2 linked regions of the Macaca mulatta genome follow. The main gene of each other region encodes a partner of the protein of the gene in region 2 in a complex. Links are inferred from orthologs where the notes say so. Each region holds a gene or a part of one and is shown on either strand. Other genes may lie near its edges. The genes, in order: POLE2 and POLE4.

Region 1 (3,816 bases), on a different chromosome or scaffold from region 2:
CAGCTACTAAGGAGGCCAAGGCAGGAGAATGGCGTGAACCCAGGAGGTGGAGCTTGCAGTGAGCCGAGATTGTGCCATTGCACTTCAGCCTGGGCGACAGAGTGAGACTCCGTCTCAAAAAAAAAACAAAAAAAAAAGTGCATAATTCAGGTCGGGCATGGCTCATGCCTGTAATCCCAACACTTTGGGAGGCCAAGACAGGTGGATTGCCTGAGCTCAGGAGTTTGAAACCAGCCTGGGCAACATGGTGAAACCCCGTCTCTACTAAAATACAAAAAATTAGCCAGGCATGGTGGCATGCACCTATAATCCCAGCTACTCGGAAGGCTGAGGCATAAGAATCACTTGAACCCAGGAGGCGGAGGTTGCAGTGAGCCGAGATCACACCACTGCACTCCAGCCTAGGTGACATAGTGAGACTCTGTCTCAAAAAAAAAAAAAAGTGTATCATTTGGTGATTTTTAGTATATTCACAAGTTGTATAGCCATTACTACTATCTAATTTCAGAACATTTTCATCACCCCAAAAAGATATCTATTAGCCCATTAACAGTCTAAGAGTTATTTTGCCAAAAATATGCTCTTCTAATTAATGGTATCCCAAATTATATCATGTTAACATATTTTACCCAAAGCAGAAATAGTTTTACTGGAGAATGAGAAGGAGGACAGTAACAAAGTATACTGACTTACCTTCTGCTAAGACAAAGCATGCCTCTGTGTATAAACCACTATGGAACTGGTATACAACAGCTGAGGAAAATAATTCTATTCTTGAGGCAGTAATAAAGTCAACATACATTTTGAGACCAATAAGGCTTCTAAATAATAAATTCAAAGACTTCCCATTTGAAACTGTGAATAGACCACAGCTTAGAAAGAGCTTTAAAAAATTTAGGTTTAAATGTCCTCATGTTTAATTCTTGGTAATATTGACAGGGTGGATCATTCTTATCATGATATAAACTTCGTCAGTCATTCGTCTAGATTCTTCAAATAAGAGGAAATTAAAGTTGTTCTGTCTCTGTTTAGGATTATATCTCTATATTCCTATACCAGCAACATAGAGAAGTTACATTGAGAACCCAAATAGGTAAGTTTTAGAAGGATATATAATCAATTTCCCCAATTCACATAATGCAGATTTTAAAAAATACAGACAAGTGAAGGATATAGCTTTACTAAGGTCTAGTTGTACTGTTCCAGTAGGATCTTCCAGAAAAAATTTTCCCTAAAAAAAAAATGAAAAGAAATAAATCCACATTTATGTAACAATGAAAACTATGACCAAAAAATGAAACTACAAGTTTGACAACAGAATACAGTAGGGAGAAAAGTGGATTTTAAAAATCAGCTATGATTTCTAGTCCAGGCTCTTCCATTTACTAGTTTGATAACCCCAGACTAATCACTTAACTGAGATTCTGACTCCTCACAGGTACAAAATGGAGAATGACTCCTACAGATAAAAAATGGCAAGAGGGACACTCAATGTCTGCCATACGGAGGGTCTCCCCAGGTACCTTCTAAGACAGCCAACAGCATCTCCAAGTGACCAGGACATACTCTGCAGATTGCTTGTTCAGAAACCCAGTACTCTCTGTTTATCCAGAGGTCACTAGGGGCCTAATTTCAGGCTATGCAAACTGGGCTCCCAGACAAGACACTGTCCTGATGTCTACTCAGGAAACCAACCACAAACGAAAAAGACACTTGGTAACTGAGAAAAGTTTTTTGTGTTTTTGTTTTCTGGTTTTTTTGACTATTACAAAAGTTTATTTAACAAAAAGTCTAATATGAAAATGAACATGACCTAATTTTTACATCATTGTAAAACAGGCCCTATGGAGACAGGAAATGGGTTTCTCTGCTGAACAGCCATTATTTTATTTTATTTATTTATTTATTTTGAGACAAAGTTTCGCTCTTGTTGCCCAGGCTAGAGTGCAATGGCACCATCTCGGCTCACTGCAACCTCCACCTCCTGGGTTCAAGCAATTCTCCTGCCTCAGCCTCCAGAGTAGCTGGGATTACAGGCATGCGCCACCACACCCGGCTAATTTTGTATTTTTAGTAGAGACAGGGTTTCTCCATGTTGGTCAGGCTGGTCTCGAACTCCTGGCCTCAGGTGATCCGCCTGCCTCGGACTCCTAAAGTGGCTGGGATTACAGGCGTGAGCCACTATGCCTGGCCAACAGCCATTATTTATCCTTATTCCAAGGCTTCTAACATGATGATACTATTTCCTTATATTACCACTATTCCAATATTTTTCTGTTGGTGAGGCGAGTTTTCAATAAAGAGTACATTCCTGTGCCCGCCACAAAAATGTTCTATGTAACCGACATTTTATCAATCCAAGGCCAAAACTAAAAGTTTGATGTTTATTAAGTTACCTCTTTTAACTGCGTTATCATTCCAAGAACAATCACATCTCCGATTTTGGTTGTACTACCCAATAAGGTTTCTATTGTTTTAAGCTAAAATAAAACAAAATAAATTTTAAAGACTATAAATATATTCTTTCAAGAAACTAAACTTTTTATAAGTAAGTAAATTTGGGGTACACATTTCAGCATTTATAACTACTTTACAGTAGAAAATCAAATAAAATGGAAATAAAGTTGTAAAATTAAACTTAGGATGTTTAATTTTGTCCTACAAAAAAGCTGTAAGATCAAGTGTATGATGGCCTGAAAGAATCATGCCTAAAGAAACACCACATCAACTCAGGCTCTTACCAATGACTGAATCCACACCATATCATTCCGAATAATGATAAGTACATTTATTTTTAAAATATAGAAAAGAATATCAATTTTATTTTATTTGAACAGTACCTTTTGAAAATTAGCAAGCTATTTAAAAATATATATTCTAATTTTACTTAGTATTTTAAAAGGCTCTCATTATTATTTACATTCTCAATCTGATCTTTTTTTCTAATCAGAAAGTTTAAGGTAGTAAAAATTGGGACACCATTGTAAAAAATCCTTGCCACCCGGGCACAGTGGCTCACACCTGTAATCCCAGCACTTTGGGAGGCCAAGGCGGGCGGATCACAAGGTCAGGAGATCGAGACCACAGTGAAACCCCATCTCTACTAAAAATACAAAAAATTAGCCGGGCGTGGTGGTGGGCGCCTGTAGTCCCAGCTACTCAGGAGGCTGAGGCAGGAAAATGGCGTGAACCCAGGAGGCAGAGCTTGCAGTGAGCTGATATCACGCCACTGCACTCCAGCCTGGGCAACAGAGCAAGATTACATCTCAAAAAAATAAAAATAAAAATAAAATAAAATAAAATAAAAATTCCTTTCTAACTTTTTCTGTATGTAATCCTAAATATATGTAAATACATACATATATAACTTATGACACACACCTATACAGTTTATTCACAAAGATGAAATCATAGTATATGTACTATTCTGCAACTTAACTTTTTGAAGTTAATATCTGAGATATCTTTCCACTTTTCTACATATAAATTTCCTTCTGTTTAAAGAATAGAGATATCTATATTATACATATGACCATTTATTTCACCAAACTCCCATTAAAGGACATTTAAGTTGTTCCCAGTTTTCTACTAATAAAAACAATTTTTAATATTTCTGTGCACCTTTCTTTGGCCCACTACAGCGATAGAAACTTTTTTCTTTTTTTTTTTGAGATGGGGTCTCACATTGCCCAGGCTAGAGTGCAGTGACACTCTCATACCTCACTGCAGCCTTCAACTGGGCTCAAGTGATCCTTCCACCACAGCCCCCTGAGTCACCAGGATTACAGGCACTAGCCACTGCATCCAGCTACAGAT
Region 2 (4,454 bases):
TTTACTACATAATTTTGGAATTGAGTGATTTCAGATGTCAATTAATTCAGCTTCATCTTGGCTTCACCACATTCTGTCGTGTGTGTGTGTGACTCAGTAACCACTCTGCGCCTCAATGTTTTCAAGTAAGGTTTCAATAATAAGGTTAAGCTTATTTTGTAAAATAAGGTTAAAATATATAGGGTATTGTGAAAATGACAGAAGTTATGATTTACATAAATGTAAAACACTTTGAATCATGCACATACTAAATGCTCAAAGGGGTTCACTATTATTATGATTGACTTAGATTAAAGCTATTGTAAATATTAACTGTTCCTCTATGCTATCAGACCTCAAAGTGTGGTGTGGGGATTCATGGGGGTGGGAATTTTCTGGAGACCCTTTTCAGGAGTCCATGAGGTCAAAATTATTTTCTTAATACTACTAAGAGGTTATTTGTATTTTTCATTCACATTCTCTCAAGGAGATGCAGTAGTTTTTCAGAGTTACCTGAGAAGTGCTAACGTTATCAACAGAAGCAGCTAGAGAATCCAGTTCTCACATGAAATCAGACATTAGAGACTTTTCTTACTAGATTCATTTTTTAAAAAAAGTTTCTTGTCATAAAAATGTTTGTTAGCTCGTAATGCATTAGTAATTTTAAATCAGTATTTTAAAACTTTAATTCTAATACAGTAAGTACTGATATAACTGACAGAAACAAAAGCTACTTGGGCTCTTTAGTAATCTTTAAGACCGTAAAGGTATCTTGAGGTCAAATTTGAGAACCAAAGCTGTGATGCAACCTGTTTTTGAACAAACGTGGATGCCTTACAACCACAATTTCATCCTTTCCAGCCTCCATGACTTTTTCTTGTTTCCTCTGGCTGGGCTGAATTTCTTCTTATCTGCCTGCAAAAGCCCTACTCCTCCTTCAAGAGCATCCATAACTGAATTTGGTCCAGACTTCGCTGCCTCCCTGGCATCCTCTTCCACGATGCTGGGACCTCCAGGGCCGGGCCTCCCTCGGACACGTGCCCTCCTTAGCCTTGGGGTATTAACATTGTTTTGACGGAGGCTCTCTTGCGAGCCCAGTCTAGATTTCTCCCCTTACCAGCCTGGCACAGGCACCAAGGGGAGGTGCCTGGGCTCCACAGGCCCAACGGGCCAGAGGGTCACCAGTAGCGTCAACCAAGGGCACGACAGCCCAAGGGTGGCCAGGCGCGAGGGAAAAGCCGGAGCCCAGTCCCAGCCCACCCGGTTTCCGGCACCGCCCTGCCGCGTAGGGGCGGAGTCGCGCGCCTACACAGGGTGTGGCCTCCAGCCCGCGCGGGAAAGGGCCTGCGCCGCATGCGCGCGCACAGTCGGCGGCCGCGCGCAGCACGCTCAGGGCCGGGATGGCAGCGGCGGCGGCGGCAGGAAGCGGGACACCCCGAGAGGAGGAGGGACCTGCTGGGGAGGCAGCGGCCTTGCAGCCCCAAGCCCCAACGAGTGTGCCTGGGGCTCGTCTCTCGAGGTTGCCTCTGGCGCGAGTGAAGGCCTTGGTGAAGGCGGACCCCGACGTGACGCTAGCCGGACAGGAAGCCATCTTCATTCTGGCACGAGCCGCGGTGCGGCAGCAGCGCGAGGGCACGCGGGGGTGGGGGAGGTGGAGCGCGGGGCGGAGCCTCGGGGCCTTCCGCGGGCGGGGCTTAGGGTGGCGTGGGCCGGGTTTTGAGATGTGGGTGTGGACCCGGAAGGCGGAGGAAAGGGGCCGGGGACCTATGCGAGTTGTGTGTTTTGTTAACACTCCTCCCTCTTGTTGAGGACCTGGTTAGTGAGTGACTTTAATTTGTATCTCCAGGGCCTCATACAGAACTTGTAGGAGACTTTAGTGAATGAAGGAGAATCCTGGGAAGAGGGTGGCGGAATGGATGTTCATGAAGTCCAGGACAATCTTAGCTTCCAGAACATTTTCTTGCCCCTGAGCCTGCCTTCTCCCTCTCTGCCCCCACCCACAAACCAGAGCCCTCACCTCCTCAGTGTGCTAGAACCCATTACTAAAACTTTGCTTTTTTACTTCACAGGAACTGTTTGTGGAGACCATTGCAAAAGATGCCTACTGTTGTGCTCAGCAGGGAAAAAGGAAAACTCTTCAGAGGAGAGACTTGGGTAGAGTGGCACTGCCAGTGTCTGGGGACAGAGAAGGGAGGGCTGGGCTGGTTTTACCTTGCGCAGGTTGAGAAGACGTCACTCTGATCTGAGAGGTCCCACAGCGTCTCTCCCCAGGATGGTTTCTGTTGGCCACAGTGCCAGGAAGCCCTACCTGTAGAGGCTCTCTGCTTGGGGTGGTGGAGCAGTGTGTGGTGTCTGGGGTTGCCAAAGCGGACTGGATCCCTTCATACCTTCTGCCAAATTGCACCAGAAAAAGATAATTCTTTTTCACCTAGCAACTGGGGATTTGATTTCTGACTCTTGTCTGGTTGGTAACCCTCACCTGTGTAAGCTTTCATATACCGTGTTCTCATGCGCCCTGCGTCTATTGTCACATTCTTCTCTGATAACTTTAAGAGCAAAGCGAATAAATAATTTAGATGTATTTTAGGAGCCCCCTCCCCCCCCCGCATTGAATGGTATTTGCCTACACTTTTCTTACTCTTCTAGGGAGACAACTAATACATATATGAGAGTTGCTGGTAGAGTAGATACGGATCTCAAGGCAGCAAGGGACGCATCTTATAATTGCCCTCATTTGCCCAAAGCCTCATGCCCTTCACTGTAGATTGTGCTGTTTTCTGACTGACGTCAGCATGGCTGGAGTTAGTCAGGTGTCTCTTTGCCTTGTGTTTCAGATAATGCAATAGAAGCTGTGGATGAATTTGCTTTTCTGGAAGGTGAGTTCTCTCTCAGTGGGCAGTCATTTCCACCTGTCTTTTGCATGTTAATGTGAAATTCAAAACCTCATAAAACGGATGCCTGCTTCTTGTTTGTGTAGGGATAATTCTTTCTCCGTACTTGCTGTTAGAAAAAAGTAACTTGCTAAATGAGGTTCAGTTTTCTCCCTTGGGGAATTAAAACTTCTACCTGAAAATTGCTAGCCATAAAGAAATAGGAGGGAATATAAAGATCCCAGTGTAGTTAGATGAATTCAGAAGTTTGATTCCTATCTTGTTCGCCATACCTAGATATCAGCCTTGCCCCTCTTATCATGTTAGAGATCAGAAACAATTGTCAACATTTAAAGGGTGACCGCTTGTTCTTTTTTCTTCAACAATCTGTGTGAAGTGATTATTTTGCTGCAATAAGACTTGTCTGTGTTTTTAGGAGTCATGGATTAACTTGTGTACTAACTAAATTTTTTCATTAAAAAAGCAAATATTTGAAATACCTAATTTTAGCTACCTTGCCTCAGAGCTATTTCTGCTACTTAATTTTTTTTTTTTCTTTTTTGAGACGGGGTCTCGCTCTGTCGCCCAGGCTGTAGTGTGGTGGCGCGATCTCGGCTCACTGCAAGCTCCGCCTCCCGGGTTCACGCCATTCTCCTGCCTCAGCCTCCCCAAGTAGCTAGGACTACAGGCGCCTGCCGCCACGCCCGGCTAATTTTTTTTTTTTGCATTTTTAGTAGAGATGGGGTTTCACTGTGTTAGCCAGGATGGTCTCGATCTCCTGACCTTGTGATCCGCCCGCCTCGGCCTCCCAAAGTGTTAGGATTACAGGCGTGAGCCACCGCACCAGGCCGCTACTTAATTCTTAAATCTGATCAGCTTACTCTTCACTACACATATATAGTCATGTGCTGCATAGTAACATTTTGGTCAGCCATGGACTGCTCACATGAGGGTGGTCCCAGCAGATTATAATGGAGCTGAAAAATTCCTGTTGCCCAGTGAGGTAGTGGTCATAACATCCTAATGAAATACATTACCTTTTCTATGTTTAGATATGTTTAAAAACGCTTATCACCATGTTACATTTGCCTACAGTATTCAGTACAGTAACATACTGTTCAAGTCTGTAGCCTGAGAGCAATAGGTATACCCTGTAGACTAAGTGTATAGTAGGCTATACCATCTAACTTTGTGTAAGTACACTCTATGGTGTTCACACAGTGGTGAAATCGCCTGAAGATGTAATGCATTTCTTACGATGTATCCTTGTTGTTGAGCGACACATGACTGTATTTTGATTGAGTAGCTTGGCAAAAGCCATGTATCCTCATTTCATTCTCCCGGGGTGTTCTCATTACCTCCTCTAAGCCTTATTACCTTTAGAAATCTCTTGATTTATTCTACTCTTTTTACTCCTTTGTTCTGCATCTCCATGTCAACCTAGGTCCCTGGTCCTTTTGATAGATATTTTTTAAATGTCTTATTAGATACATTACCATGGCTAGCTTCATGCCTAGACTATTGAGCATTCTTTTAATTTGCAGATTTTTCTTCAGCCTCTCTTTCCACCTACTCATTTTTCTTAAAATTAATTTTTTTTTAGTC

Evidence for each region.
Region 1: POLE4 (region 2) and POLE2 share a complex: the UniProt entries of both Homo sapiens proteins name them as parts of the DNA polymerase epsilon complex. The link is inferred for Macaca mulatta from reciprocal best matches to the Homo sapiens genes POLE4 and POLE2.

The regions. Positions count from the first base shown.
Region 1 is NC_133412.1:122,890,687-122,894,502, forward strand, and holds part of POLE2 (DNA polymerase epsilon subunit 2), read right to left. Parts: intron 2,481-3,816; coding exon 2,397-2,480; intron 1,232-2,396; coding exon 1,175-1,231; intron 743-1,174; coding exon 694-742; intron 1-693. UniProt on the Homo sapiens protein: Accessory component of the DNA polymerase epsilon complex. Participates in DNA repair and in chromosomal DNA replication.
Region 2 is NC_133418.1:49,824,977-49,829,430, reverse strand, and holds the start of POLE4 (DNA polymerase epsilon subunit 4), read left to right. Parts: upstream 1-1,352; 5' UTR 1,353-1,379; coding exon 1,380-1,592; intron 1,593-2,048; coding exon 2,049-2,133; intron 2,134-2,813; coding exon 2,814-2,855; intron 2,856-4,454. UniProt on the Homo sapiens protein: Accessory component of the DNA polymerase epsilon complex. Participates in DNA repair and in chromosomal DNA replication.